4 linked regions of the Schizosaccharomyces pombe genome follow. Each later gene encodes a partner of the first gene's protein in a complex. Each region holds a gene or a part of one and is shown in the gene's direction. Other genes may lie near its edges.

Region 1 (8,124 bases):
TTATTAATGTTAACGTAAAACTTTGGTTTTTAGTTCGGGTATATCGTTTGGTTAAATCTTTAGCACTCATCGTTTTGCCTGTTCTCCCGGTTTATACGAGTAAGGTAAGGGAATTCAAGAAAGCATATGTTATGTAGTTGACCCTTTCTACTTATCATTGTTTGGAAACCTGACAGACCTTGTTTGTTATTTTCTAAGCCATTCTTCAATCTTCAATGTTACATGCTTTCCAGGGAAAGTTGGGATTATTTTGCTGTCCAACTAATAAGCACTCACTTGCTAACTCAGAGCAGGTACTTCGTTGTTCTCATTGTGGGTGGTATGAACCAGTAGATTCGGCCATGATTGATCAAAGGCGCAGGCGTGAAGATCTTCCTACTCCCGAAAGACCTGAGGCGAGTGCTCAACAGCATGCATTTTTTCCTGGCTCAAGTTCGCAACAAACCGATATTCCTAACGTTCGTCCTCAACCACATATACCGCCTCCAAGAAAAAGTGATGAGGCACCACCCCCTTACAGCTACAAGTAATGTTCTACCTTAATTCTATTTATTGTTCTACCGTTTCTAATGCTTCCCTGATGAAGCTTTCTAAGCATGTTTGGTAATATTTATTGTGCATACTATATGACTGGATATGATAGATAATAATGGCTAATTTTTTTTTTTGATTAATAGAATACAGAAGAGTTTTAATTCATAAATATTATTCATATAATCTAACTCGTAAGGCACAGCCTTTTTAAATGGTTTCCGGCGAGGAAGGAAGCTAATAAACCAAAGGATAAAAACCTATCTAAAGCATCTCATTAGATCTTTTTAATTGTCCCGATATAATAAACTATTATAGTGAGCGCCAAGCCCAAACAAATGCTGGTAATATGCTATACACAACGGTTTTTCGAACTTGACCGTTGAGGGGTTAAACTTTAAAACTGGACCTTCTGTGTTGTAGACATGAACAGGAACCTCAAGAGAGTTTGCTAATGCCTGTATTTCAATATCACTTCCCCATTTGCTATTGTTTCGAATTTCGTTACAATAATCGGATACTGGCAAAACTTCTCCAGATTCTTCGTCTAGCAAAAAGCCTTCAAACTGTTCGCAGTGCTTTAATACATAATCAGCGGATTTATTACGAAGAGCTTGGCTATTTAGTTTAACATTATGATGATAATTTAACTGATGTGAAATGGAAGCAAATAAACAATTTCCATCCGCTGGTATATCGACTGCAACAAGTCCAGCTTCCTCAAGGATTTTTGAAAACTTTTTTTTCTCTTCATTTTTGAGATCAGCCATTTTTTCTGACTCTAGCTCTGCCTGCTCAGACATTTTTTTCATCTCTGCTTTACGTCGTTCCTAATTAACTTTGTTAGTGATAATTCGTCAAAAGTTAAGCACTTACAAGTCGCTCTTTTTGTCTATTCCTAGACTTTTTAGGCTGTTGCGGTGTATTTTCTTTAGTATTCAATGAGGACTGAACTGATGATTTTTCTGCCGTCGTAATTTTCGTATCTTCCATCTGTTGTAAAAGCGTATTGAGGAGATCTTCTTGCTGCGTTTCATTTGTCTCTTCATCGCCTTTATCCAATTTTTGTCGTTCTGTAGCATGTTTTTGTGATAAATCGGCTTCCATTTGTGAGATTTTTTGCTGCAAAGCCCTTTTTTGTTTTTTATTTCCTTCCTTTAGTTGTTTACGAAGGTTTGTAATTTTGCTTTGAAGTTCTTTACATTCTTCCCGTTGCTTACTTAACAATTCCTCCATTTTTTTAGACTTTCGTTTTTGTTGAGTTGGTATGGTAGTTTGAGTGTAATAATATGCTAATGGACATCTCATTCGATGCTTCCAATTTAATTCATTTAGACATTATATTTACATAGTATAATATTCCCTTTCCATGCATAGCCTTTTATTCATTTTGTAAACATTCAATCATCCAATGCAGAGTTTTATAATAAAATATATATTCTTTACTAGGATCCTATTAAACATCATTTAATTTGTAAAACAATTCAATTCTAATAATTTATTAATTATTTATATACAATTAGACTCCTGTTTCCAAATACCAAATTCTTTGATACCCATATAATACACCCCGTCGTTCAACAAATGTATGCCCGCTGATAAACGAAATGAAACTACAAGAAAAACAAATAAAAAGCTTTAAATAAAGTGTGTTTTTGAAACTTCAAAGAATTAGAAAACTTGCTGTTTGGATGTTCGAAGACTTCTGGACGAATCGTAAAATAAAGAATTCCAATTCTTGTTCATATTTAAAGCTAGGCAAACGATTTTTCTTTCCTTTTAAGCCTTTACCTTTTTAGTACCCGAAACCTTCTTAAGTCCACTTTTAGACGATTTTTTTGATTCTTTGTCACGAACCTTTCTTTTTCGTTTTTGAGTATGAGAATCATCTAATTTTAATCTCTTGGATTTTTTTTTCAACTTGTCCTTCTTCTCCTTCTTTTCTTTTTTCTTTTTGGACTTCTCTCGTTTTGAAGACTCTTTGCCAGAAGTTTTTCTGACTTTGACTTTCTTGGACGATACTGGAGAAACAGAGGAATCAAGACTCTTATCAACTAAATCTTCCTCAAAGGTACCACAAAGTCGACCAGCATAACGAAACACAGAAGACAGAGCAGAATATTTGCTGTGATATTTTGCCATTCTCAATTTTGTAGATACACCATTGCTTTGGACTGCAACCTTTTCCAAATGTTAGCACTGTGTAAAAGAGATAGGAAAAATTGTATATTTAAGTTGTTTTTACCTTTCCGTTGTCCGTATTTACTTGAATTGACTGTAGTTGAGCAGAAAAAACATTATCCCACCATTGATCAGCAATATCATGTTTAGCACCAAGCTACCGTGTGTTAAAAATAAATTCATACATAACTTTACTGAAAAAACCCATCTTTTTCTAAGATTTTTTATTCTGACATACCCCATGAGTATTATATTTTCTAGAAGTTAAAATTGGTTTGGTGAGCCCTCCTTCTTTTAAAGCGTTTCCTTCCTCCCAACCAAAGGAATTCAAATATCTTTTGGAACTAAACATCAATGGCTGATGAAGTTTTGCATAAAACTTTTCATGGGTACTTCGTGGTAAAGGGAGTAGTGCCATGGGATGCCATGAATACCTAATATGAAAAAAAATAAAAAAAGTCCTTGAATCGTCTCGGAAAAGGAAAAAAATATGAAATATAAATTTCCTATTTGTATGTATGAATAAATAATTTCTAAACGTTAAATTGGAAAAGGTCGTTTCGTAAGGTCAGAAAGGTGAGGCTCTAATGATGAAATTGGATAGATGAAGCCTAAGAATATCATTTTCTAATTAACAGATTACTTTATTGAACCTGTTTTAATGGAATATTTTCATGCTGTGGGTGATTGGCATACCAATCAACCAAAAGCAGTGCCTTGAGAAAGTCCATGATTTTTAAAGAGAGTCCAAGAGCAAGAATGAGGTTACTTGCGTAATAAAAATTTGCATTTCCACATCCAAGAGTTATCCAAGAATGGTAAAATGCAGATCCCAGTACAAGCGCAAACACAATAGCATTATTTGTAAGCAAGCTATATCGCATTCGGTCTTGGACTTTATTAAAAATTGGGAGGAGAGATAAAAATATTGAAAGATCACAAATACTTGGGTAAGCTTTGAATAAAGAATGCAGGCCAATAAGAGCAATAGTAATAGGCAAGGGCAGATAATAAAGACGGATCGAAACAGGGAGAACAAACATCAATGGTAAAATGGCAAATACAAAAAGGAAGAATGTGCGAAATTCATTGAACATTTCTGTAAAAAAATACCACCAGAGACCCAAATTCGGAGTTAGATCATGAGAGTCCAAGTATACCCTAAATGGAATTTTCAAAAAAGATAACGAGTTCAGAAAGAAGCCTGAAGTTATTATCAGACCTGCAAGATAAAAAAGAAAAACAACGAATATCTGACGAAATTTAATGGATGAATTGCATTTTCTTAAAATAAGATAGGAGGGGAAAAATAACAGTAAAGCGTTAGGATTAATGAATACAGTCAATGCCATACAGCATGCATAAATTGCATAGGATCCGCAAGAGGCGAAATAAATGGTCATTAGAGTGGTGAAATTAAGTATCATGTCTGCGGAGCAAGCAATTCCTGGAAGAAATGTTAATGGGTTAAGCAGATAACTAAAGTAATATTTTGTTAGTAAATTTTGAGTTAAGGATACTTGTTTGCGACACAAATATATCACAGAAGTACACATTTTCAATATCGACTACGAAATCTGTGTAATCAACGCAGTTCAATCTTTGAACAGTCATCGTTAACAATTTTGTAAACCAACGATACAATGCTTTTCATTTTTTTGAAGAATGTCTCACTTTTTTTGTCGCAAGCCATATGCGTAACTTACATGACGGAAATCCATAATGGTGAACAAGTAGATAGTACTTGATTTGGGTCTAAAACACGAGCTTGTTTTGCAATTAAATACACAAAGAGACCTCCCATAGTAGAAATGCTAGTATAAACAAATCTGGTGACAGATATTCCTCCAAGCAACTCACAACAATAATTTAAGATCAGTAGAAGTGGAGACTGATAGAAAACACCACCAGAATAGGGGTCTAGTCCGTTTTCATACAAGTAAAGTCCTTCACGAACACGTAAAAATCCGGATACAGGCGTCGATACTTCGATTCGCCTGTAAAGGAATTCAGCAATCCAAGTGTTTGCTAAATACCATTGAAGAAAAAAAGAAATTGATAATAAACCTAATAGTTTTAGCTTCTCATTTGGTATCATTGCAAAATCTTCACTGTTCAAAAGATGGGTTATATTTGTGTTTTCAATTCACCAATCTTCGTTTAAATTACAGTCGTTGGGTATCCCAAATGATCCGTTTGAAAAACTTTTAAGGCAGCCACCAAAGTAAGATTTTTAATTTTTTATTTCTTTATTTTTTCTTTAAAACGAGAAGAGTGTTTTAGGTTAATATTTACACGTTCATACCACTACCACAGGTTGAGTAACATAAGTTACCTGGTATAGAAATTATGGTATTGAAGCACTCGGTTACTTACAATTTGTCATTTTTCATTTCCTTTACATTTTCATCCATATTTTTTAGTTCTTTGATTTTATTTTTGGTTTACAAATCGGTTCTTAGCAAGCTATTTTTCATCAAATATCTAATGCTTAATTTAACAAAAGTTGGACTACGAAGATTTTGGAGCCAGAGTCCTAGGCGGAATGCGCCCAAAAAGGAACTCTCTTCTCTTTTAGAATCCACAATCACTCCAAAAGCTTTTTCAAAAAGGACGGAGGAGCCAAATCCGATTATGCAAGGTACGGATACCATTCCAATGCCATTTTACCTTCATGCCAAATGTTTGAAGAACAACACTCACATTACACTTTGTTCTCCTGAAAGAAAAATTATTTTTAGGGCCTCTGGAGGAACCTGTGGTTTTCGTAAAGGAAAGCGCCGTGGCTACGATGCTGCTTATACCATTTGCTCCAAGGTGCTGGAACAAATCCAAGTAAAGCGCCTTGGTATTGAAAATTTGCATGTTATATTTCATGGTTTTAGTCAGGCCAGGGAAGCAGTACAAAATTGTTTATTAGGGCAAGAAGGTGCCGTAATTCGAGACAAAATTGTAAAGGTTATGGATCGAACACCTATTAAATTTGGAGGACCGAGAGGTAGAAGGGAGCGACGCATATGAAGTATGTTTATATTACTTTTCTGTTTTCTTCGTTTACGTAATCTTCCTGTGCAGTTAATCTGCTGCCCAACATTGTTGGTGCTTTTCCACCGTTGTATTTGACCTTCTGAACTTAGAAATGATTTATTAATACCGGTGTGATAGTGCAACATGATTTCTTAAAAAAAACTATATCCCATCTCTAATTCAACACAAATAGTTTTTACCTATCTTTCTCTGTAATTTATGAAATGCAAAAGACATTATTATTCCCATATTATTTACATTATAAATAATGACCGTCACTGATCAATAAGTAGACACTTCTATATCTAATTTTATCTGCCATACTTATTACATTACAACTGCTGACACCATATCAATTTCAGACAGTAAATATTCATAAAAATCGTCATCGACCCAATTTTCAGAGCCTACTGCTGATAATCGACTGGATGTGCGTTCTTTCACTTCTGAAGTGTAATTTAAATCTCCTTTTACGAACCAAGGCTCATACCATCTTCCCAAAACATCTGCGAATGGGCAGACGTACTCGACAGATTTATCATGCAGGCAACGAAAATATGTGTTTGATAGTTTTGATACCATTTGTAATCTTCTTGGTAATTCTTTTAAGTCATCCTTATGTTCATCAATATTGTCAGCGCTGTCATTATAATCGAGTGCATTTTTGTCAATTTGTGTCCATAGTGAGCCTTGGAAACAGACAATGTCATCTTCGTTTACATAAATATCAGATATGTACATAAAACTTGTTTTTTGAAGTACAGATGGCAGTGAAGATGTGGATATAACACATAAATCATTAATCCATAGTTTTTCGGCTCCACGGAAAATTCCGTAAAAATGATCATCTAAACTATTTGATTCACCCCCAAAGGTTGGTAAAACTGTGAGAGGGATGGAATAATTTTCGTCGTGGAACTTTGGTTCTTCCATATCTATACCTTCTAGTGGCTGGAAGATACCAAATAGGTTCCACGTTTGACATATAGAATGAGCAACTAGATGTTCTTGTTTTTGTAAATCGAGTGGATGCCGGGACCAAGGCTCAATATCTGCAGCTGCCATGTCAAAGTAATAACGAGAGTTGCCTAATTGTTTGCAATGGTATTGATATGGTTCCACAAAAGTATCAGATATTAATTTGACAGCATCCATCTGGTTACTTTCATAGTTTATTAAGTTCCGAGCCACTATAATTGCTGGAATGAGCTCATTATTTATGTCAATCCATACCACTTCGCCAAGGCGATACGAAGAAGGCCAGGTGTATGTATCATCCTTACATTCATGGAACATCCGTTCATTTTCTTTTTGGAGATTTTTGCGTACACGCGTCATATTACCAGAACACAGAACGCAACAGCAGGTAGACTCGTTACGGGTCAAATCTGATATAAGCCAATACAAATGATGAAGGAAATCATTAACTGATCGAAATGGTCGACCACTGGGATGGCCATAAAGCCAAAATTCACGTTTACCATTGCCATTTTCACGGTTTGAATCACGCTGATATAGCTGGTAATTGGTGGGTAAAGAGGCAAGATAATAATTTTCAAAACTGTCGGTAAGGTATATTTGTGAAGAATATTTAGGTTGTTTTTCCAAGGTGTCCTTGGAAGATTTTGGATTTGGTCGAACATGTCTAGCAGAGACCACATTTTTTTCGGGGGCTGTAACAACAGTGGACGCATTGGTATTATTGGGATTACCGGTGGACAATCTTTTACAAAGTTGGTTGAGAATAGGTTGGGTTGAGCCGGCACCACCGAAAACATGCTGGGCAAGTAAACGACCGCATATCTGGCGGTAAAGTAAATTTTTACTGTCTTGATGTGGTAGTGGCTTTAACGAAGGGACGGATCTTGTTCTGCTATGACCATTTACATTAGGCCATGTATCAGAGCGCCCATCGGACCAAACACAAGTAATAGCAGGCATTAGCTACTAAAAATGACAATAGCTGAAGTTATAACGGAACAAAAGAAGTATGCAAATTATTTTGTGTAGCGGAAAATTGACGCAAAGAGTTAAAAAGAACAGAAAACGAAGCAAATATTTTTTCGGATCTCGTGAAACGAGGATATTGCGATATTTTATGAATGTGTGCAAAAAGCGATTTGAACGTAAGCAAAACTTTGTTTTTTCGAACCAATCAAACAACTCAACTTGATATGTCCTGGATGTACAAAAACCACAGATGAAAATAAACTGGCTCAAGGGGCGAAAGAAAATAAATATTTAGGTTATTGTTGTTTATTTTTTTGCCAATATCGTTTAGAAAAAATCTAAAGAGAATACGACAATTCTGTGTTCGTTGTAAAGAAGTCCGACAATAGCGAAACGAGATGACTCCAAGGCCATGGAGAGACAAATTATTAGTAT
Region 2 (8,039 bases), on another chromosome or scaffold:
TAAAGCTATTTCTGAGCTTGGTTTATACGACATCCTACTCACTCTGAATCATAAAGGACGAGTTGGCTGAAGACAATTCGCTTTGGCGGTTGGAAGCTTATATATACCAAACCCTAGATTAGGACTCATCATAGTTGTCTTGTATATAAAACCTACTTGAGTTATAAACTATATTAAATCAAAAAACTATCAAGAAAATATTTTATTTATCACTTTGTTATTTACATGCTTAATACATTCGAATTTTCTATATACTAAGGTCTATTTCTATACTTCTCTGAGCACGCAAACGCAACATAAGTCTTATTTAATTTCTGAACATAAGAAATATAAGCTTATCTTTAACAGCTTTTCTTAAATTACCGCATAATTTTGTATAGGTTTATGTTTTTTTAAAGGTTCCAAATCGACGGATTTTTGAGTTTTAACCCTTCTTTCTTTATATCGTGGTTGTGATTCAATAAAAGTGAACCCAATTGTTATTTGTAACCATTGACGAAAATTATAGTACATTGAATTACTATTTGTTTACTAGTTCTATATTAACAATACCGGGAGGTTCAAAATCAATGATTACTACTTGTTTTCTTTTTCTTGTTATATTTGCTTGCTTGAAATCCTCTTTATAGTTATAATACATTTTTACAACCTGCTTTTGAGAATATTAATCTGGCAACTTTCAAGTAAATGATTTCGGTAATTGCACTGATTTTTGAAAAGTGTTGATTTCGAACGTCTTTCAAATTAAAACGGACATTTTTTTATGAAATTAAAATGCCTTGTGCTTTGTGTAATACTCGTTAAACAGCTTACCGAAACTAACAACCTTTTTAAGAAGCGAAACTTAATTAAATCAATATATTATACTGAGTAAATCAGTAATTTCTGGACGATCGGCCACATAAAGAAGCATTATAAATCGTTCTCCATACTGTTAGGCTTTTGTTTTCAATTCACGTTTTCTTTTCTGTAATTAAAATATCAGTAAAGAATTCGTTATGCCATTATTTTATAAAAAATTTTTATAATCCTATACAATTGTGAATTTACATTGTATTCAAATGCTTTTTTACATCCCTATATTTTACAGGCGTTCGCTGTTGTACCGCTTGTTTTTTTGAACACTGCTTATTATAATTTTTTCGATTATTACATTTGCGAATACCTTTCGAGGATTTTGGAACTACTAAACGCACAAAAATTCGCTTCCCACTTCTGACAACTTTGTGGGTTTCATGGTAATTTGAATGCTATAATATTAACAGATTGACACAGCGATTTAGATCCATATTTTATTCTGTACAAAGTAAATCTCTAACATTTGGTAGACGGCTTTTGCCGTAATAACCGTTGGTTTTGCAATTTTGCGCCTTGTTTTCCAAACATAGTAAACCGGTGCTTTTAGTTTATTATATAGTGATTTATTGTGAACTTTAGTATCGTGTCGTTAATATACTACTATCCAGTGATTACTGCAATGTCCATTAACTTGCTAATAGTGTGTAACACTAGCTACACCGTTCACTACTTACTATTCTTCCAGTACAGAGAGAGGTATTTGGAAGTGACTAGCTAAACTGCATTCATACCTCTTTTCTTTCCTCAAAACACCATTCTGTATAGAAAAAAAAGGCTTTTATTGTTGGACTGCTTATAAAAGATTAGGATTGTGTTAAAAAAGTCGAAATGCAATTGCATTATGTTTTTTCGCATTTGCAAAATTCATTTCGCGCTCGCAAGTCGTTAGCAAGCGTTCCTAACTGTAACAGTGTGCTCGAGTTATGTGCTGTTTTGTATCATCAAGGATTTTTAAGCTCGATTCAACGCGGAGATATTCATGGACCCGATGCTTTACCCACAATCACCACTAGGCAAAATGTAGCGACCCGCCGTCTATGGTTGGGTTTAAAGTACTTTGAGGGAAAACCGGTTCTTCACTACATACGTGCAGTATCAAAGCCTAGTAGAAAGGTGAACTTGACTCCTTCTGAGTTGTTGCAATTTGCCAAAGGAAGGAAAGTTAGCTTTGTGAATGGGTTGGAGCCTGCAGAAGTTGGAATTGTAGAAACTAAACATGGTATAATGAGTATTGACGATGCAATTAAGAATAATTTGGGAGGAAACGTTATATGTCGAGTTAAATGAGGCTTCGATGGAAAAAGTTATTATTACGTACAACTTCTTTCCGGATACATTGTCTCCTTTCTCTATGTTAATAAGAGAATAAACATTACTCATTTGTTTTGAAAATTGAAGCAATATCTAACAGGCTGGTTAGATTTAAACTAATATGTTTAAGTTTTCCTTCTCTTCAGCTAAGGATCAATGGCAGAATTCCTTTTAAATCTCCCACTCCTTTCATAATAGTTTGTGAATTGAGATACTGCATATTTACACATCCCATTCATTAAAAAACATAGTCTTAATTCCCATTCCGCCAAAACATAAATCCTTTTGTTTTACTATTATTCGACTTGTGATTTACGAATAAATGTTTTTTTACACCTGAATTTATCCCGTCTCCTTTTGTCAACTCACAATATTCCATATGCTTAAAATTATACCCGCAGAAGCTTTTTTGGAATAGAAAAAATATTTGTGTTACTCTAGTAATGTAATGATAAACATGTTTAAAATACATAAGGAAAATCGTTTTATAAAATATATAATCGATGGAGATTGTATGCGACTTCTAAAGCATTGTGTAAATTAAATAAGGTTGATTAAGTACATAGGAAGTATTTACAAATGTATAATCTGTGAATGACAAGGATATGTATTTGTCAATACTGCATTTGAAAAATATATTATAAAACCATTATTAAGAATACAATTTATTTAGATCTATAATGACTATGGATAACAACTAGTCGCAATGGTGTAGTTGGGAGCATGACAGACTGAAGATCTGTTGGTCATCGGTTCGATCCCGGTTTGTGACACTTTTTATCAGCAATTACAGCTTTGTAAATAAAGCATTTAACACAATGAATTTTGTGCCAACGCTGAGTAGGAATAATATCTTTCTCTACATACTCTTTAACTGGGCAATCCTGGTAATGTATTTGAGTAATTAAGCAGTATTGAGTCTGTTTTCATCGGCATTGTTATTTAGTAAAATGATTGATTGATGAATGTACACTCTTTCGTTAATTGCAAGAATTTATGCTGTGATAAACAATCATTTGCGCCTTGGATTTTAAGTAGGCTAAGATTTATTTTAAATACTAATGATGTTGTAAATATAAAAAGGACGGGACTCTTTTTAAGAAATATAACTAAATAACACGTGGAAATGACAAAAAACTTGGGTAGTTATTTTCAGAATTGTTCAAGCAAAGCTCAAATTTCTTTCTTTATATATTTATTATTTTCACATGTTCAAGATTTTATTGTCAGAAGCAAATGGCTTTAGTCCACAGTAAATTTAAATAACCAAAAAAATTCATTATTCCTATTAACCGATCTTTATTAACAATATTTTCTCTTCATTCCATACATGGTCGATTGTCCTGCTGCAGCTCAAATCACTATTTCAATTTCATAGCACAGAGCCAACTAACCTTACTCAATGATCCACTAAACAATATTTCGTCTCTTAAACAACAAATAGTCATCTTGATTTGCATTTAATTCAATTGATAATATAGACTTATACATTTATACCTTCCACACGGCTTTGCTGAATTGAGGATATTATAAAACTTTAACCGAATTTGCCAAATATGGAAGAGGAATTCCTCTCATTTAAAAATTTTTTACAGGAGGATCAAGATAAGAGGGAGAAAATTATTCGTCTTTCTCGTGAAATCACAATTCAAAGTAAACGAATGATCTTTCTTTTACATCAAACATCCTCTTCTGATGGATTTCCTCTACCCAAGGATTTCGACAGAACATCCATTTTTGAAAAAAAAATTCACAAAGAACTAGAAAGTCTGAAGAGAGAGTTGGCTGGATTAAATGCAGACAAGTTCTCTTCTGCTTGTACACACGGCCTTCAAGAGTATGTTGAAGCTGTCACTTTCAAATTCTGGTTACAAACAGGTACGTTACTTTCTTGTAAAGATAGTAGCTTTAGAATTTCTATTAATTTCATCGACTATGTACTCGGTGTTTGTGACATGACTGGTGAAATAATGAGATTCCTTGTAACCAACGGCTCTAAGTTCTCTGTCCAACAACTCACTCAGCAAGTTAAATTTCTTCGTGGACTACACAAAAACTGCTCAGAAATTGAACACTTACCATCTAAGGTCAAGTCAGAATTACAGCAGAAATTATCAGTAATGGAGAACAGCATTTCAAAAGTTGAAGGAATTTGCTATAGTAAAATTTTAAGAGAAGCAGATAAAAGATATTTAAATTTGGAAGTGGATACAGCAACTCCTCCCGAGGAGAAACGATTACGGTCCACATAATATATGATCGACAGCTCTCGACAGACACCTTACTAGTTTATTAAAAGTTTTTCTGTTTTGCAGCTTTTGAAAATCATAATTATTAAGTACATATTTTCGACGATTCAATTATCTTATCAAAAGCTTCCGCTGCTTTCTATATGTTAGAGTTTCCATAAGCTAGGATGTTTGTACAATATAAAGTTCATTTAATAAGAGAGATTTCAACCTAATTCCATCATTTTGAAAACAAATTGTATTTCAATATTTCGCCATATGAAACCACACGTAAAATTAATCATGATGCATCAGTTTCCAAAAGCACTTGACGTTAGCAAAATCTCGCATTTTCCAATAATGACAATCCCACCTGGAATCACGAACAACAAAGGATACTTTTGTTCTGCACAAGAAGGATCATATGAAATTTGCGACAGACCTAGAGTGACCGTACCCATTGTACTCGTATCAGCAGCTGCGGTAAAACTATACGACAATGGTCCATGAACACCTAGCCAAATTTGTAATCCGACCGAATAGCCTCCAATTTTAAATTGTAATGAGCGCGAGCTCTCCAAATATTCGGGTGGCTCTTCAATATATGGATAATCAGTAACCGTTGGTACAGGATTTTGATTGAATGGTAACATCATCGTACAGTCAAAATGTGATATGCCCACTATAGTCCAGCATACAGAATCTCCAACTCGAGTCATTTCATTTGAACTCAAGTTTCCAACAGCTTCCCATTCTATGGGCAATATAGCCTCACTAGATGCATTTCTGTTTTGTGCCGACGTGGCCCCAAGAAACCAACGGACTGAAATATTATTGGAATATGCCAGTGAACTATGCTCAGCGATCTTAAGATGCCGTACGTTTGATATGGGATATGCGCTTTCTAATACAATTCTATGCATTTGATTAACGTAACCGTCCTCCTCAGCAATGTGGTCTTTTTCTACTCGTCGAATAATTAAAGGGTCACTCGTCGTTCCTGTTGCTTCATCGACCAATTCAACGATGGAGCCATATTTAATGGGTTCTGGGTTATCGACATCGTCGCATACCTTCAGTTTACCATTTTCATCTGGTAATAGCAGGTTAATACGCAATGGCACCCATCTATCACCGCGAAGACAAAACTGACCAGCCTCAATCGATGTATACTTTGTACGTACAGTTTGTGAATTAATCCGGTTATAAAGGCTGACGACTGAACCGGATCGCAACGTAATATTACTAATTTTTAGTTTGCTTCCTTTTTTCGAAGGTTTGGAGACAATACTAATAGAAGAAGTAACCAAATGAGATAACAATTGGTTATTTACATTCGAGAACATGTCCAGAGAAAGCCGTAAGTTTTTAGATTTCGCAGCGACCAAACTCGATATATGCAGTGACCGAAAAATCATACATCCTTGGCCAGTGTATTCTTCGCTGATGGGTTGCGAACATTGCCCAAAATCATTCATTATTGATATCTCAGTGCGAAAAGACTGATTGAATATAGAAGAGTAATTCCCATTAATATAAACCATAGGGGGTGGACATAGGTAACGTTTCTCTGACCCATAAGACTTTTGTATGACAGAGGAATGTCGACACGAAACTGTTACCAGCTGACTAGGTTTCCCTGAACGTGTAAGTGAAATTTTGTGCACACTGTCCTCATTCAAATTAGCAATGCCAATACAACAATTGTTCAGTAAATCCAAATGATCTGATATGGCTCTTCGGATCATCTCTACAGAACTGTCTTCATCAAAGGTTTTTCTTTTTCTATTAAACCCAGGAGGAGAAGGAGCAGGAATTATGTTTTGGGCCAGCTCGTCCAACGAATTAGACGCCTTTGCTACAGCAGGAAAAATTGACTGTTCATCCTTAACTACAGAAGGGAATTCCTCTGATTTTTCCAAAGTAGCCAAAGCTGAGTTTACAGCACTGAAGAGAGACAAAACCTGCATGGAAACACTTCCAGGACTCCCGCTTCCAACTCTTTCAGAATTTTCATTCCTTCCTCCAGCTCCATCCTCCTGATTATGCAAACCATTATTTATGTTGTCCACTAGAAAAATCCGTTAGCTATTTTACGCTTGGGATGTTCAGAATGATTTATAACTCAACCATCATTGCTAGCGCTTACAGTTCAACTGATTTAAATTTAAGGAGCCAGAAGTATTACTCCCAGAGATATTTGCAAAATCCCAGGCAAAATAGTCCCCCATTAATGTTCAAATTATGTTTTATACTTGCTTAAACTGTTGGACCTATAGGATTAAGACATGCATTTGCTTTTACTTAAATTATTTTCAGTGAGAAAATATTAAAATTTAAAGTAAGGGACCAAATTACTAGATGCTTAGGACATTTGCAGTATGGCGCTTTCTACGTACATTAGGGTCAGGTCGGTGGCTTCCTACTCAGTTTGAGCCATTTCCATTAACATCGATTTTTCGATATTATATTAGTTACCCTGTTATTTAAATACTAAAAGTATTTAAAATTTATTAGAATTACTTATTATCTCGTTTTTAAAGTGAATATTAGCTTGCCCGAATAAGCTGTATATGCCTTTTTCCGGAATAACCACGAAACGATCGTTGGCGTGAGATTATTTTGAATTAGAAATTCTTCAATAACTCTATTTAAGATCCTTTAAAACAACTTATCGAATGAACGACGAAAGACTAGTAGCCATCAATTTTGAACAGCAAATCTTCTCTAAGATTAGCGAAATTTCTGAATCAGTCGGTAGGGCGATCCGTTACTGTAAGGAAGATGGAAAAGTTGAAGGATGTGAAACAGCATCCCATGTGGATTGTACGTTACTTTTTCTTATAAATTGAGTGATAATGTTTGCTTCATCAAACGACTAATTGCTAATGAAAATCCAGTCTTAAATCATATTCATTTACTTTTGGGAAATTACAATAATGACTTAGCATCTTCAATTGAAAAGAAGAAATCCGAGTTGATAGTAAGAAACTCAGAAGGGTTACCTGTTATGGATATTCATGAAGAAGTTGATAAAGATGGAAATATTATAAGTGCTTCTGTTGCTCCACAAAGAATTTCATCTGTAATAGATTATGCGGATGTCTTTCGATCCCTTCCTGGTTTCAAAAATATTGAAAATGGGGGGAACCGTGATACATCTTCGAGAATTGAAGAGCTATCTGAAGAAGAAATTAACGATTCTACGAAAAATATTAACTACAAAGCTCCAGAAATGGGCTCATTACCTTCTAATACTGAATTTACTTCAACTCCAACACTTGGTGTCTCAGAATTTCCCAGCAAACATGGTGATCATTCAGACAGTAAAACATATGAGAGTCCTATTAGTAATAGTCAGGCTGCTTCATTGAGTGATTCAGATATGGTTCAACAAATTAAAAATGGTAGCAAGACTTCTTTGTTTAAAAAGGGTTTTCTTTTCAAAAAAAATAATGCAATGCAAAACAGAACTACTTCAAATATAAAGTCAAACGCTTCTGCTATTGAAAAAAATAAAGAAACGATATTGAATGCTCTCAATAACTCTACTTTAAATGAAAATGGACATCAAGATACCCAAAATGAAGTTTTACGAGACATTGTGTTAGAGCATCCGACAGCGAAGGCCCAAGATACTGG
Region 3 (8,062 bases), on another chromosome or scaffold:
AACAAGCAGTCGTTGTTTGTTGGCCAAGTTATTAGTTTTTACATTACAAATACAGAACAGTTGAATGAAAGCACAAAAGAAAAAAAAATCTGAAACAGCCATCAAATTTAAAGGCAAACAGTACACAAAAAAAAGTATTTGTTTATGAAAATTATTGGTAGTGCAGATTATCTATAAACATGTAGTGGTAATAGTAAAAAGGTGGTGTATTGATATTATGATGAATGAAACCTATGTAGTTCTTCAAGAAAGTTATGCTTAATTCAGACTACATTTTCTGGAAATTCTTTTGCCTTATAACTTTGATGAATTTCATCTATGTATTTAATAGTATATCATTTAGTGATGAATAGTGAATAAATTTAGAGCTCCTTATGTGACAAACAAGGAATTAACTTGCATTCGATTCGTTCGTCTAGCACTAAATGAATCTGTGTTATTTGTGTGTGTAAAGAGATTAGTAAGTAGGCTCTAAAAAAAAAAAAAAAAATGTGTGTATATTTTTAATTTATTTTAAATATTTTTCTCCTTCGGTTCTTTTCTTCTTCTTCTTTTTTTAAGTTTTATTTATTTATTTTTTTATTTTTTTATTTTTTTTTTTTAATTTCAAACAGCTATGCTATAGTCTAGTGCTTCTCTTGCAATTTGACAATGTTTTCGTAAATTTTGCCAGATAAATGAGTTTTTGAGCAACTATTTAAATTCGGTTTAATATATTTAATAAACCTATTTTATTCTATGTCGAGAGAAGATTGAGATGATTAATCATTCCCTCTATCTATTGATTGTTTCATTCATTGTAACTAACAAATTCTATGATACTTCGCCTATCTGATTTACCATTATTCTCACTGTACTTTCTTAAAATGTTCCACTTTGGATGGTTTGGATTCTAAAAAAAGAACACTTGACTTTTCCTTTTTTTGCAAATCCGAATATTTTTAATTCTTGTCTTTTTACTTCTTTGCCCCCCTTTCACTTTCTTCTGCTCCTATCGTCTCCCCCTTTTTTTTTCCATACCTTTCGATATCTGAATCCTAACACAATTTCCTAATGTTCAAGAAAAAAGAATATTCGTTGATATATAAAACAACTTTAATTATCATTCTTTAAGTCATTTCATGTTTATTATTTTAATTTTAGCTTCTCTTTTGAATGCTTAGAGGCACTTTTTTTCCTTCCCTGTTAATTTTTTGCATTCCTTTTCTCTCTTCTCTTTTTCTATTTACCTTTTAACACTAGCACTGCTTTATCCCATGCAACCCTTAAATGTTCGAATCGATAGATAATAGAAGAATCATGTAAAGACTAAAAGGTGATTTTTCTCCCTTTTTTTTTTTTTTTTTTTTTTAAACGACTTTTATTGTATTGTCATTTTGCAAAGTGAAACCAATTTTATTTCTATTGACCCACCACTACTTTTACTAAAACAACAATAACATTAATTCCACAATTTTTTTTTTTTTACCATCTCCTTTAAATCAAAATCCAGGCTAAACCATTCACACCACCTCTTTTCATCTCTTCGTTTTCCTTCCGCTTTTTTGTCTCCGTCGCTAACGGGATCTCTCATTTGTTTACTGGTTATTCCTTCATTCATCAACATCACACTGTCTTTCTTTCCACCACTCACCATGCCAAGTGCCTGAATTCATCTGAACCGTTTCTGTTTTTTGCATGTTATTTTAGGGATCGTATTTCCATATCTTTTCTTTCTCATTTATTTCCAATTTTACATCTTTCCTTTGATTATTTACTTTATATATATGGACAGATCGACATACTAACGTGCACTTACCGCTTCTAGTTAGTCTCCAGTGTGTGACCTTTTCGTCATTACTTTGGTACATTTCCCTTCCATCGGAAAAGTAAGCTACTTCCATTCTTATTCATATTTCTTGTCTTTTCCCCATTTTTTTTTCTTTTGTAGCAGCGAAGAAGAAAAAGGGACATTCATTAAAACCATCTCCTTCAAAAACTCGTAGTTTCGGCTCATCCACTCGTTTCCTGTTTCTGTTTACATTTTTTTCACCACCAACTCTCACTACTTCTCGCTGCTCTGATCCCAAAACTACCTTACACTACACTACACTACGCTGTACTATACATATTTAGCTAGGAGAAAGCAATATCACTAACCAACGAATTACGATTTTTTGCCCAGTTTCGGTATAATACTTCCTCCTTCAACCCGGCCTTCCGACGTGATTTTCGCATTCTCTCCTTATTTATGAAAAATAGTTTCCCCTCCCTTTTAATCAGCTGTTAAGCGTCCTTATCTGCTTCTTTCTTTATAGGCTTTAGACGTTCAATTTGCTGAAAATTTTGTGGTTCCGTTTCTTTGTTTTCCTTCCGTGTTTGCTAACCTTTTTTCGTTGTTTTTGGCTTCTTCTAGGGAACGTCTCGGCTCAGTGCTCCACAATAAGCTATCGCTTAATTTCACTCACTCAGCTTTAAAGGAATACTGGAGTGGAACGCATACCCTAATACCGGATTGGACACTTTAAGGCTATAGCGGCTTTGAACCCCCCCTTTGTACTAGTAAAAGTAGGTGGGTGCAATATCTTCGTCGTAACCTCAACATACCACTTTACTTATTAATAGACATAATTCGTTGAAGCAAACGAGAGCTTTTTTGCTCTCTTGCCTTTGTTTTCTTCTTATTTATTTTTAATTTATTAAACATTTCTCTTTTTTTGACGTTTCTCCTTCGTTTTGACAATATTACGAGCATTGGCTCAATTTCTTCTCTTTTGTTGAGGTGGTAGGCCTTCAGAATATCGGTTGGAATTTTCTTTTTCATTTTGTTTTCTCCCTTTTCTTTATTCCATTTACAACTGTGCATTACGCTTTACCTACGAAATCCTAGTTGCTTCGCACTTCCCTCGTTTATCGATTGTTCGTTCGTACATCTGTTCCGTTTGCATTCCAATTCAATTTAATTAAATCAAAAATTTCATATCTATTTTTTTGTTAAATTGCCACATTTTCCATACAGAAAACATGAGCTCTTCTTCTAATACCAGCAGTCATAGATCTTATGGCTTACGGCGGTCCCAACGCTCCATGAATCTAAATCGTGCTACTTTGCTCGCTCCTCCAACTCCATCGAGCCTGTATGATGCTAACAATTCTACTTCATCTACCTCTTCGCAAAAGCCAAATACCTCTTTCACTAGCTTATTCGGTCCTCGCAAACAGACCACTTCCTCCCCTTCCTTCTCTCATGCCGCCCCTCTTCACCCTCTTTCTCCTCCTTCTTTTACACATTCACAACCCCAGATACAGGCACAACCTGTACCTCGGCGGCCTTCCCTTTTTGATAGACCCAATCTGGTATCACGCTCTTCCTCTCGGTTAGGTGATTCTCCATCTCTTTCTCCTGTTGCCCAGGTGGCTAATCCCATCCACCATACTGCCCCTTCACCCTCAGACGTTCGTGCGTTTCCCATTCATAAAAATGCATCTACTGGTGTAAAACGAAGTTTCTTTTCTTCCTCCATGTCAAACGGTGCAATGTCCCCTCCTTCCCACTCTCCATCTCCCTTCCTTCAAAGCTCTCAACACATACCTCCTTCTACTCCTGCTCAGAAGCTGCGAAAGAAAAACAATTTTGATTCTTTTCGTATCTCAAATTCCCACATCTCTCCATTTGCATCGGGCTCCTTCTCTCCTTTTGCAACTTCATCGCCTAATTTTTTATCGACTTCCACACCCGCTCCTCCTAATTCAAATAATGCTAATCCTTCTACCCTTTTTTCGTCCATACCATCCTCTCGACACACTACCTCTAATCATTTCCCTTCTAACTCCGCTCAATCCTCTTTGTTTTCTCCTACCGCTCGTCCACTTACTGCACGCAAGCTTGGGTTTGCCTCCAGCCAAACTAAGTCTGCCGTATCTAACAACCATTCACGAAATAGCTCTAAGGATGCATCATTTATGATGAAAAGTTTCATCCCTTCTAATCGCTCACATCCTCAAACCCAACAAAATGAATCTTCCCTCTTTTCTGATAACAGTATGGTTAACTCCTCTTCTAATTCATTCTCCCTTTTCCCCAATGCTACTCTACCTAACCCACCCTCATCTGAGTTGTTAACTACTCCCTTTCAACAAATCAAACCTCCTTCCCAAGTTTTTATGAGTACAGGTCTTTTATCCAAGCAACATCGTCCGCGAAAGAATATTAACTTTACACCTCTCCCTCCTAGTACTCCTTCAAAACCCTCTACCTTTGTTCGTCCACATTCTTCCTCCACAGATTCGCCTCCATCACCCTCGACTCCTTCCAATACACAAACCGACTCTTATTTTATTCAACGGGAAAACACTCCTACAAATCACAATTCCATTCCTACTATTCAGTTGGAGAAAAGTTCCATGGACTTTTTGAGGTTCGATCCTCCTCCTTCTGCTGTAAAAACTTCTCACAACTATGGATTACCATTTCTATCTAATCAGAGGTGTCCCGCTACGCCTACTCGTAACCCATTTGCGTTTGAAAATACTGTTTCCATTCACATGGACGGTCGGCAACCTTCGCCTATCAAATCGAGAAATAATAATCAAATGTCATTTGCCATGGAGGAAGAAGCTGATGTATCTCAACCCTCTTCTTCAAGCTTTACATTATCCTTTCCTTCTGCTCTCACCTCGTCCAAAGTATCATCATCTACTTCACATTTGCTTACACGGTTTAGAAATGTTACTTTACTAGGAAGTGGAGAGTTTAGTGAGGTTTTTCAAGTTGAAGACCCTGTGGAAAAAACTTTAAAGTATGCAGTGAAAAAGCTCAAGGTAAAGTTTAGTGGACCAAAAGAACGTAATCGACTACTTCAGGAAGTCTCTATTCAACGAGCCCTTAAAGGCCATGATCACATTGTAGAGCTTATGGACTCATGGGAACATGGGGGGTTTCTTTATATGCAAGTCGAATTGTGTGAAAATGGTAGTTTGGATCGTTTTCTTGAAGAGCAAGGACAACTTTCAAGGCTCGATGAATTTAGGGTATGGAAAATATTAGTAGAAGTAGCTCTTGGGCTACAGTTTATTCATCATAAAAATTATGTTCATTTGGATTTAAAGCCTGCTAATGTTATGATAACATTCGAGGGTACCTTGAAGATTGGTGATTTTGGAATGGCCAGTGTTTGGCCTGTTCCGAGAGGCATGGAAAGAGAAGGTGATTGTGAATACATTGCGCCTGAGGTTCTTGCTAACCATTTGTATGATAAACCTGCTGATATTTTCAGTTTGGGTATCACAGTCTTCGAAGCTGCTGCTAACATTGTTCTTCCTGATAACGGTCAGTCTTGGCAGAAATTACGTTCCGGTGACTTATCAGATGCTCCTCGACTTTCTTCAACAGACAACGGTTCATCTCTTACTTCTTCTTCTCGTGAAACACCGGCTAATAGTATAATAGGCCAAGGGGGACTTGATCGCGTTGTAGAGTGGATGCTATCTCCAGAGCCTAGGAACCGACCTACCATAGATCAAATTTTGGCAACTGATGAGGTTTGCTGGGTTGAAATGCGTAGAAAAGCCGGAGCCATAATTTATGAAGGTATTCATGGATCTTCTTCTAACCCCCAGGGTGATCAAATGATGGAAGATTGGCAGGTGAATGTTTAAACCTTTTAGAGACTCTTGTTCTCAATGTTTATTACTGCGAAATTGCGAAATAAGGGAATGGCTTCCAAAATCTGTTTAGCTTCATAAAAGCAAACACTTTAATTATTTTTAAACGAAAAGTTTAGTGATTGGTGCTTATAATTAATTTTGGTTCATTAAATGCTTTTTTTTTATTTAAGGATACGTGTCCGTTTTAACCGAACCCTTAAATTTTAAAAAATTTTAAAAAATTATTAGATGATAGTTTTTCTATTTAATTTTTTGCCTTTTCACCGGATTATCTATTTGGTTTTCTTCAGTCAAATATCCGGTTAATTATATCTGAGGCAATATGATGATGGCTATGGAAACATGCCATTCAGTTCTTGATATGGGGAACTAGAATGTTTCCTTAATTTAAAGCCTTGACGCCGCACATACTGTACGTGCTTTGTCTACTGAAAAAATGTTAGTGAACGATTGTTTTTTATATCGCAAATCCTTTCTCTAACATGTAGACTCGGCTTCAGAGGAGTTATTATTCCTATTTTTCATCTATTTTATTGTCTAATTTCTTATGTCACTCGTTTGTTATCGACTTGATATGTTGCATTTACTCATCTTTGCTAGCATAAAGTTCGAATCCCGACTGTTTATCCACTTTTTTTTGACTTCTGTTTTCATAATAATTTAGATCGATCGATGACACTGCCTATTATTCTTGTACATAGTTTACGATCTTGCTGAATGGCAAATAATTGGTTATGTTTATGGAAAATGCCACGATTTACTAACGAAGTTTAATAACCCGTTAGATTTTTTATTATTATCATATCATATAATAATTAGTAATAATGTTAACGTTATGCTTAGTTCCACTTCTGTAATTTTTAATTTCCCTTTTTTTTTATGCTTGTGAAAGCTGTGTATATGCTCAAGTTTGTGATGCCTTCAAATTAGTATAGGATTTTAATGACCCGTTTAACACTTCATATCTAAATAAACATTTATTTTGAAACAGAAAAGTTAGAAAATTCAGGTATCATCACGTTTTCATTTATCAGACACAAGCATAAGCTATAAACTATTTAACGAGTGTCTCATTATTTCACTAAACACCTTCAAACATTGAAATATTACTTTGACAACAGCACGGGAGAAAAATGCTTGGGAGACGAATATTTTCTCCAGCTCCAAACAGAGGATTTATTTTATGCAATCTCATACAATCTAATAACTCTACGCGAAGAGGGTTTTCGGACAATCGAAAATTTAATGAGAGAAATTCTGAAGCATCTTCAAATGTAGGATTTCAGAGAAGAGTTCGCTCAAATATTCCATCATATTTATCAGCCTCCGTAGAAGAAGGTGATATTTACTCTCCCAATGATTTACTGTTTGAAACGGTAAAGGCGAAAAATCAAGCCAAATTCTATGAACCAGTAAGAGAAGATTGCTTTAAGACGGTGAACGAAAACCCTATGAATTATTGGAAAAACCCCGTAATATTGTCAAGATTCGTTACTGAACTTGGTCGTATTAAACCCAGAGGTGATACTGGCCTAACAGCAAAAAATCAACGACTTCTTTCTAGGGCTATCCGAAGGGCTCGAGCTGCTGGTATAATGCCGACGAAATACAAATCAGTTTATTCGGAAAATTAAATTGTACTGAATATTAACAAGGACGTTCTATATCTCATTTCATCACATTGGTAGATATACTTACCCACTGTCCCTTACTTTTTTTTTCTTAAGGAACGATAAACGATCTACTTTACTTTTTAAATGATTAGCTCACGTTAATTAATATTTCAGGTGTACTTTGGTTTTGAATAGTCTTTTTTGGATTAAAATATACATGACACAAAATCATAAACCGCTGCTAATATTAGTGGCTAACATTTTTTAATGGCTTTAAAAATATAATATCTTTGTTATCTTTAATTTTTAATTTAGCTTGATTGAACTTTTTTGTAGGAGGAGCGTTAGTCGATACAATGTATTAAAAAAATTATCTAGTAGTAGTTATTTTACTTATCTAAAGAGGACAGAGAGGGAAGAACAAATAATTATATGCAAAAGAAGAAAAAATCCATCTAGAAAAGAATTGGGTTTTATAGAACGATATTAAAACGATGAGTGCATCATGGAGCTAGTTCAAAATATATGCAATAGGGCTTTTCATGAAGGTATATGAGATAAAAGAACAGAAGTTAAATCAGCTTGTGGTATGTAATTCTCCGACTTTAACGAAATTAGAGATCCTGAGAACTTAGAAGAATGACCTAAAGCTGTAAATAGCTGAGCACTCTTATAGGGATCTGAACTCTTTTTATGAACCCTTTGAATGGCCCACTCGATTGAATATAAAGCTTCGTGAATGGCTTGCAAAGGTGGTATATTACAAGCCAGATTCGATGCAATGGCAGCTGTAAGAGAGCAAC
Region 4 (8,053 bases), on another chromosome or scaffold:
TCTATGAATGTCTTCATATCAAGTTTTCTTCGAGCTCTCTTACGACCGGTGGCAGATGCTGCACCCAGAGTCTTGCGAAGTTCCTCTGGAAAAAACTTGGGATCCAAATCAAGGTCTGAAAGCGATAAATTGTCGTTTTTCCGTTTGGGTTTATTTCGATCACTGTAACGAACTAGTCCATCCTCATTCCTTTGTACAACACTAATTGGATTCCTTCGAATATAAAATGCACTTTCATCTAGAAATGAAGTTCGTATCTCTTTGTAAAAACGGAGTTCAAGTAACTCCTCAGGTCGAATAGATCGTTGAAGTGGTATATCGCGATCAGGGTATAACTTTGTTGGTGTGGAATTGGCATTAAACTCAAGTACTTCTTGCCATGTCATTCCTCCCAAATTTGTAGATCCACGAGCTCCACGTCGCATTGTGATGATTGTAAGAATGGGGTTCAAACGTTCGAACTAGTGTGACAGAGAGTTTAACATTAACAATGGAAAAAACTTTTAAATACTTCTTTCTGAATTATTGATTGGAACAAAAATAATAAGCCAATTACCCCACCACAGTAACAAAAAGTTGAAAAAAATTAAAAAGAGCTGTAGTTTAGCTATGAGAAGTGATAGGTTTCAAAAAGAACTAAATAAATGTAGAATATTTAAATAAAAAACTAGATTTTGAGAAGAAACCAAACCATAGGGCTTCAAAATTGTGCCAAAAGTTGGTTAACGAAAATATCAAGTAAATTTAAAAGAGGATCACCAAAGATAGATGAAAGAAACTCGGCTTTTTAAAACAAAAAACAAAAAAGAAATAACCAATGTAAAAGTGATTAAGCGTCTCTGATTAATCACTTTGTACTTGCCAATGTCTGGCTATGTGTGGGTGTTTGTGTTCGAAAACTCAACCAAAAGGCACAACACCAAAAGCTAAGAAAACGATGATCTAACTGAGCTGCCTAATTCTTGAAGTTGTAAACCTATTAGAGAAAATTAGACAAAGACTCCTGTATTAATTTTCGTGTTTTAAGTATTACGACTATCACTTTCACTTGAGCGAGTTTTCAAGACCCTTTTTGCTTTATCCTTGTTAAAGTTACATTCTTTGGTTAATTCTGTTACTTTCCTTTTACCTTTGGTTCATCAATTTCTTTAGAATGGCTGGCTTTATGCGACAATTATTTGTTTGCATGATTGGGATTTATGGTTCATTTCTTTCTTGGGCAGTTATGCAGGAGAAAATTATAACAAGACCTTACGATGGTGAAAGGTTTTCTTCTCCTGCATTACTTAGCTTAGCACAGTCCTTCATGACAGTCCTTTGTGGGTTGCTTTGGAACTGGTTTCATGGTGTTTCTGCTAGAGGCTTGCTAGAGCCTAAGTTTTTAGGATACTTTTCTAGTATTGCCATATCGGCTAGCTTAAGTTCTTACTTTGGATATGCAAGCATGTTTCATTTGTCTTATCCTACTGTTATTCTGGGAAAATCATGCAAGTTACTTCCAGTTATTGCTTTACATGTGTTCGTTTACAAACGAAAGTTTCCTCCTCACAAATACCTGATTGTTACAATGATTACAGCAGGTGTAAGTATCTTTAGTTATTTTCAAAACACTTCTTCCAAAGGTAAACATGCTGAGCATGATAGTCCTATTGGCTTACTGCTTTTATTTTTTAATTTGCTCATGGACGGAATTACTAATACTACTCAAGACAAGGTTTTTGGTAAATACAAATTATCAAGCGTTACCATGATGATTGCGGTCAACTTGGGTATCGCATGTTTAAATGGCCTGTATTTAATCTCTCCTTTTTGCAACCAGCAGCCTTTGTCTTTTATAAACAGACATCCAAGCATCCTTAAAGACATGTTGTTGTTTGCTTGCACAGGTTCTGTCGGTCAATTATTCATTTTCTTCACCCTTGAAAAATTTGGAAGCATAACGCTCGTTACCATTACACTTACAAGAAAAATTTTCACCATGCTTCTTAGTGTTTTTCATTTTCATCACACTGTATCTTCGATTCAGTGGCTTGGTATTTTATTGGTCTTTTTGGGAATCTCCCTAGAAGCCGGCCTCAAAATACTAAACAACAATTCTACTGCGAAAAAAAAGGCATCATAGGTTTGCCTTTATTTTTTTAAAAAAATTTCTTATAAATACATATTACAAACTTTTAATCGTCACCATTAAATAAAAACTTTACCCAAATATGTACGTTATGCTTCAGAACGTAAAATCAGTAGTACATGCAAGTATCGGTATACTTTGCTAACAAACTCTGGAGCATCTTCAGCGAGAGCAAGGTCCAATTCAGACACTAACTGTTCCGCACCTTTATGTTGCCTGATATGATCAATGGTAAATGTGATAAGTGAATCCTCTTGAATACCGATATACTCGATAATTTTCTTGGTAACAAAAGCTTGCATTTCTTCTTTTAGAAGATCCTATAATGTGTTAGTTTAGATACATATAAAAGTTGAAAAAATCACAAACCTCAGTAACCTTGCTCCAGTCAATTGGTAGTGCCCACAGACTTTCTGCTTCAACAGGTATCTTTTCAATAAGTGAACGAAGTCTTTTCGTCTTCTCGGCATCATTTTCTTCCATAGCAGGCTTTGGTTTTTGAGGGTTGGGAGAATAGCCTTGCGGTTCTTCGTCTTCTTCTTCCAAAAGCAGTCTCTCCGGAAGTCCAAATTCTCGTCTTTCAGAAGGAACAGCTGGTTTCTTGGTTTGTATTTTGATTTTGAAGGGACCATTTTCATGTTGAGGCATTTCACTAGTCACCAGCTTACCATTTTCGACATAATTCTCTGTCTCAACGGTTGCACCTTCTCCACGGGTACGTAGTTCTCTTTCTTCCTCCTTTCTGTCAAGAGCATCTGCGTCTTCTTCTCGAGCACGAGCAACTGCACGATGTCTAATCCAAGCAGCACGATCGACAAAATATTCGTCTCGAGATACGCGAGCTTCCTCATCGTCATCAAAAGAAGCTAATTTTTCCGAAAGATAAGTACCAAAGGAAGTGTTATTAACACGTTCTTCTTCTTCACGAGCAGCTTCTCGTTCTAAAGCTGCAGTTCGGGCCTTTTCACGATTCATCCAGCGCCGTTCCCTTGCGTAATACTCTTCAGCCTCCAATTGATCCTTCCTTCTCTTCTCTTCATAATAAGCTTGTTCATCGGAGAACGACTCGGGAATGCTATCTTCTGCTCTTAAAAAGGCATTGACTGTAGACATAGGGATACGTGAAATACGATGTTTTGACAAAAGGTTTTGTAAATCATCATTTTGCTTTCGAAGCTTTTCTTGTTCTTTTCGTGTATACTCTTTATATAAACTGGCATACTCGTCCTTAGACCTTTGTTTTTCTCGTTTTTTCATAGCAGATTGATCGCGAAAGGATCGTATTTCTTCTTCAATAACCGGTAATAATTCAGGATTAATTCCTTCTAAATCAGCAGCATTAATGGGAATTTCCGAAGTTTTGACATTTTGTAGTAATTTTTCGTTTTTCTCTCGGGCCTGTCGAGCTGCCCTTTCAATGCGAGAACGGACATCAAAATTGCCTATATCTTGACAAATTCTTTCGAGGTTAAAGCGAATTTGCTGTAAAATGTTTATCTCTTTCTGCTTATTTCTTGCATAACGACTCGTTTGCCATTCACGATACAATCCCTCATTCTCAACATCTGTAATCAATGACAAGCGAGTTGAAGGACCACCTTCGTACAAAGGTGGAACAACAAAATCATTTAATGCTTCTAATGCTCTACTGAATTGTTCATTTGATTCAAACTCTGCAAATCCAAACGAAGTCATCGAGTTATCTGCATCAGCAACCCTTCGCCAAGAAGCCAGCTTCCCGGACAATCGAAGAATTTTATCCATCCAAAAATCATCCAATTCTTTCGGTATATTACCAATAAAGAGCATCCGCCGCATTTGTTGACTATTTGGAGGGACAAACGGCCGCGATTCCCTTTCTGTTGTAGACTTCTCTGAAGAAGGTGTTTGAAACGTCTGTTTCTCCTGAATCTCATTACTTTTTTGATTTCGGGGTAAGTTTTTTCTATCTTTTTGTTGCGATTCATTATCTCTTAAAACTTGTTTTATGGGAAGTTTACCAAACTTCAGAATTGGCTGCGAAAAATCATAGGGACTACTTGCCTCAACAGGATTATCTACCAAAAAAGCGCCTTGGCCATACAATTTTTTGTATAAGCTCCTGTAATCAGGAGGTAAAGGGGCGAATACAGGTTGGATTGGGACGACATATGGAACGCCGTTGCCAACCATAGGAACCTGTGGCATCATTGGCATACCGGCAGCCTCTAAATAAAATTAGATAAATTCTTTAGCAATGAAATTGAAATTACTTACGCGTATTCTGCCGCTGCATAGTTGTTGGAGGAAAACAGATTCATGTGTATCATGTAAAGGTATATAGTGAAGTGTAAATGTGATTATCCTATTTTTAGTTTATGAATTTTATGTCTTTTACGCTAATGCAAAAAATCGATGTTCAAGGCAATTTAACGAATTCTTTATGCAGTTGTACTGCGGTGAGATTCAGGCTTCTCAAATTGCCAAGAAAACGCAAAATAACTATTTAAAATGAACAGTTCTTATTTCCCAGGTGTTCTAGGGGTCAGATGGGTACATACAAATAGGAAATTGCAAAAGAGAAAAGGTACGAAGAAAATCCATTGAAGTTGCTATTGTCTTTCAAGAATATGATTTTCGATTGTTGGATTATTGTCTGCTAATACTTTATTGATATTTAGAGGAGCATGGTGCGTTCCAAGATTCGCTTCATTTTATGATACCCGCAGCAGAAACAAAAGATTTAGGTGCAAGTGTGACAGTTGGAAATAGTCTAACAAGAGCATTTCGACAAGTTGATAGAATATGTCAAAGGAATAATGTGCCAAGGCTATTCCGTTCACAGAGATTTTATGAAAAACCATCCGAAAAGCGATCCCGCGTTCGTTCAGAAAGACACAGGGCAAGGTTCCGCGCTGGAATTGTTCGACTTGTAAACTTAGCAAAGAACATGCGTCGTTGGGGTTATTGAGTGATTCTTCGAACATTTCATTCTATTTCTTGGTTACGAAAATCCATATTAAATTAATGTATTTGGAGATCGTTGTTCTCATAGCTTTTCATTTAAGACGAGAATGCTCGAAAACCCCCTTTTGAAGTAAAATAATATATTGCTTTTTACTTCTCCGCGGATTTAAGAGCTAGACATTTTTGGGAAATATTCGTTTTTTGTTTTGTCATTTCTAAATTTTTCCTGGTATCTTTGCTTAACCCCTCCCCTATCTTATGATTTTCTACTTAACAGGATTTATTGTCTAATAACTGTCTCTACCTTCTTTTATCTTTTCAGTTTGACAATACTGCGAGATTGAGCTTAATGTTTGCATTACCCTCTAATATTACTATTCTGTTTTGCTAGCCTATAACAATTTTCTTAGTTAAATCGATGAGTTTGTTACTCTATTTATTCAAACTAATGCTGGTCGCAGGAAGTTATTACTTCTGCATGTTATAATAAATGAATTCGTTTCCTTTCGTATTGCAAATGATTTTTTTATTATTGGCCATGTAGCAGCAATTTGATGGTTGTATCCCTTTATCTTATTATAATCGTCATGAGTAAACCGACTCTCAACGTGTAACAACCAAATATGCTTACCGCTGAATTTTCATTAATCTTGGATTTGAGCAATGAAATGATAACCATCCATTTTACATTTCTGTCAACGGAAATTAAAATAATACCGAAAATATCCATTTACAGAATCATTTTTTGCTTAATTACCAGATGACTATAAGTCCCATTATTGTGCACTGCATACCATAAAGTAATTTATCACTTCCTTAATAGATTTCTGATTATTTACTCTTTCATCCAGCTAGAACTAATTACGCATATTGGCCATAGCTCACAATATACGATGGAGCGCTACCACTATTCATTAGTGCATTCAAACACGGCATCCTTAATTACAAAACTCAGTATACATTCATTAGCGTTCGCTTATTCATTAGATCGAGCGTAGATCATCTGAATTTTAACCAATGGTAGATTAAAGGGGACTTCTGTTGATGTTTGTAACGACTCAACACTCAAACGCACTTCACCAGAACAAAACACTTCTTGCCTTGTTTAGGGCATCCTTCTTTTCCAAGAAGCGTCCTGGCATCTATCCAATTTTTGCCAAAAACCCCTAGTATTCCCAGTCAATTGTGGTAGTGGTTTCACGCTTAAATTTTCGCAATGTTTGGTCGCCTCTTGCTGTTAGGGATTTTATTCCATGTCGTCTTTCTCAAATCCATTTTTGATATCTATTTCGTAACTCCTCTAATACATGGCATGAAGCAGTATTCTGCAGGCGAAGCTCCTGCTAAACGCCTATTTCTAATTGTTGGTAAGTAAACATTTGTAATAGTGAAATTAGTGTATAGAGCTTAATGAAAAAAATGTCATATTTTCGTTTTGGATTTAGAAAAAAAAACAAGAAATAGTACAACTTTTTTCTTGTCCTTCTTTTTCTTATTTTACTAACCAATATGCTTATAGGCGATGGACTACGTCCTGATAAACTATTACAACCACATTCCGAAAAGGTCATTGGAGAAGAGCAGACATATGCCGCTCCATTTTTAAGATCAATTATTCAGAATAACGGTACTTTCGGTGTTTCTCATACTCGTGTTCCCACCGAGTCACGCCCCGGACATGTTGCTCTAATAGCTGGTTTTTACGAAGATGTTTCAGCCGTCACAAAAGGCTGGAAAAAAAATCCAGTAAATTTCGATTCTGTGTTTAATCAGAGTCGGCATACTTATTCGTTTGGATCCGAAGATATTTTGCCTATGTTTAGTGAAGGTGCATCTGATCCATCTCGAGTTGATACATTCATGTATTCTTCTGAATTGGAGGATTTCTCTAGCAACGGAATTGTTCTTGACGAATGGGTTTTTGATAGGCTAGATGAACTTCTCGCTCAGTCTTTAGAGGATAAGGAACTTTGGGATATGTTGCATCGGGATAAAATAGTATTCTTCCTTCATTTACTGGGCATTGACACAATTGGCCATAATAAACACCCTGACTCAGTTGAATATGTCGAAAACATACAGTATATAGATGGAAAAATTCAAGAACTCGTTGATAAGATGAACAACTACTACAATAACGACGGAGCCTCTAGCTGGGTTTTTACAGCAGACCATGGTATGAGTGACTTTGGAAGTCATGGTGATGGCAACCTTGATAATACACGTACTCCCATCATTGCCTGGGGTGCTGGTATTCAAAGTCCTACTCATGAGAAGAATTATGGGCATGACGAGTATTCTTTGCCATGGAATTTGACGGAGATAAAACGTATTGATATACAACAAGCAGATATTGCAGCTTTAATGTCTTACCTTGTCGGTTTAAATTTTCCTGTGAATTCCGTGGGTCAAATACCCTTGGATTATCTTGATTGCTCTTCTCGCCGCAAAGCTGAGGTTGCCTTAATGAATGCTTTAGAAATTGGTGAACAATATAATTTAAAGTCTGCCTCAAAGGATCAAACTAGTATTTTCTTTCGCCCATATTCTCCTTTGAGGAACTATACAGAGGTACAAGCATCCTTTTACAACTCAGTTATTGCTGACATAGAATCTGGTGAATATGAAATTGCTATTGAGCATTGTTTCCACTTTAGCCAAACGGTTCTTTCTGGACTACGTTACCTACAACGTTACGATTGGCTTCTTCTTCGATCTATTGTTTTCTTTGGTTATTTGAGTTGGATTGGATATGTCATATGCTTTGTCTTCAGCTTAAACATAGAACCATCCTCCAAAATAGTAAAGCCTGTTTCCGTCGTCAAGAGAGTCGCATTTAATATTCCTTTTTTGTTAATTTGCATCTTTTTTTATATCCAGTCTAGTCCACCATTTTATTATGGGTATGCTCTTTTCCCAACCATATTTCTGCAACTCATTCATTCAATTTTCCCAAATACCAAACTTGGTTTCAAAAAT

What was found.
Region 2: mrps18 (region 1) and mrps8 share a complex: the UniProt entries of both Schizosaccharomyces pombe proteins name them as parts of the mitochondrial small ribosomal subunit.
Region 3: mrps18 (region 1) and rsm18 share a complex: the UniProt entries of both Schizosaccharomyces pombe proteins name them as parts of the mitochondrial small ribosomal subunit.
Region 4: mrps18 (region 1) and mrp21 share a complex: the UniProt entries of both Schizosaccharomyces pombe proteins name them as parts of the mitochondrial small ribosomal subunit.

The regions. Positions count from the first base shown.
Region 1 is NC_003424.3:4,964,832-4,972,955, reverse strand, and holds mrps18 (putative mitochondrial ribosomal protein subunit S18), read left to right. Parts: upstream 1-5,093; 5' UTR 5,094-5,199; coding exon 5,200-5,733; 3' UTR 5,734-5,966; downstream 5,967-8,124. Other genes in the region: SPOM_SPAC1952.04C (uncharacterized protein), read left to right, coding at 34-104, 294-530; OUT family ubiquitin-specific cysteine protease Otu2, read right to left, coding at 819-1,361, 1,408-1,767; tma23 (ribosome biogenesis protein), read right to left, coding at 2,311-2,712, 2,777-2,869, 2,951-3,064; gab1 (Pig-U family GPI transamidase subunit), read right to left, coding at 3,357-4,191, 4,419-4,810; SHREC complex subunit Clr2, read right to left, coding at 6,067-7,680. UniProt on the Schizosaccharomyces pombe protein: Component of the mitochondrial ribosome (mitoribosome), a dedicated translation machinery responsible for the synthesis of mitochondrial genome-encoded proteins, including at least some of the essential transmembrane subunits of the mitochondrial respiratory chain.
Region 2 is NC_003421.2:326,131-334,169, reverse strand, and holds mrps8 (mitochondrial 37S ribosomal protein uS8m), read left to right. Parts: upstream 1-1,603; 5' UTR 1,604-1,686; coding exon 1,687-2,145; 3' UTR 2,146-2,690; downstream 2,691-8,039. Other genes in the region: ago1 (argonaute), read right to left, coding at 1-33; tfx1 (translin family protein), read left to right, coding at 3,726-4,421; DNA-binding transcription factor, CBF1/Su(H)/LAG-1 family Cbf11, read right to left, coding at 4,709-6,468, 6,547-6,628; uri1 (prefoldin-like protein), read left to right, coding at 7,076-7,223, 7,298-8,039. UniProt on the Schizosaccharomyces pombe protein: Component of the mitochondrial ribosome (mitoribosome), a dedicated translation machinery responsible for the synthesis of mitochondrial genome-encoded proteins, including at least some of the essential transmembrane subunits of the mitochondrial respiratory chain.
Region 3 is NC_003421.2:719,231-727,292, forward strand, and holds rsm18 (mitochondrial 37S ribosomal protein bS18m), read left to right. Parts: upstream 1-6,759; 5' UTR 6,760-6,779; coding exon 6,780-7,280; 3' UTR 7,281-7,562; downstream 7,563-8,062. Other genes in the region: protein kinase Wee1, read left to right, coding at 3,004-5,637; SPOM_SPCC18B5.05C (phosphomethylpyrimidine kinase), read right to left, coding at 7,800-8,062. UniProt on the Schizosaccharomyces pombe protein: Component of the mitochondrial ribosome (mitoribosome), a dedicated translation machinery responsible for the synthesis of mitochondrial genome-encoded proteins, including at least some of the essential transmembrane subunits of the mitochondrial respiratory chain.
Region 4 is NC_003423.3:614,704-622,756, reverse strand, and holds mrp21 (mitochondrial 37S ribosomal protein bS21m), read left to right. Parts: upstream 1-4,583; 5' UTR 4,584-4,618; coding exon 4,619-4,694; intron 4,695-4,788; coding exon 4,789-5,078; 3' UTR 5,079-5,566; downstream 5,567-8,053. Other genes in the region: DNA-directed RNA polymerase III complex subunit Rpc31, read right to left, coding at 1-425; ER uridine diphosphate-glucose transmembrane transporter Hut1, read left to right, coding at 1,154-2,122; U1 snRNP-associated protein Usp107, read right to left, coding at 2,218-2,448, 2,498-4,335, 4,385-4,403; its8 (pig-N family GPI synthesis protein), read left to right, coding at 6,291-6,441, 6,594-8,053. UniProt on the Schizosaccharomyces pombe protein: Component of the mitochondrial ribosome (mitoribosome), a dedicated translation machinery responsible for the synthesis of mitochondrial genome-encoded proteins, including at least some of the essential transmembrane subunits of the mitochondrial respiratory chain.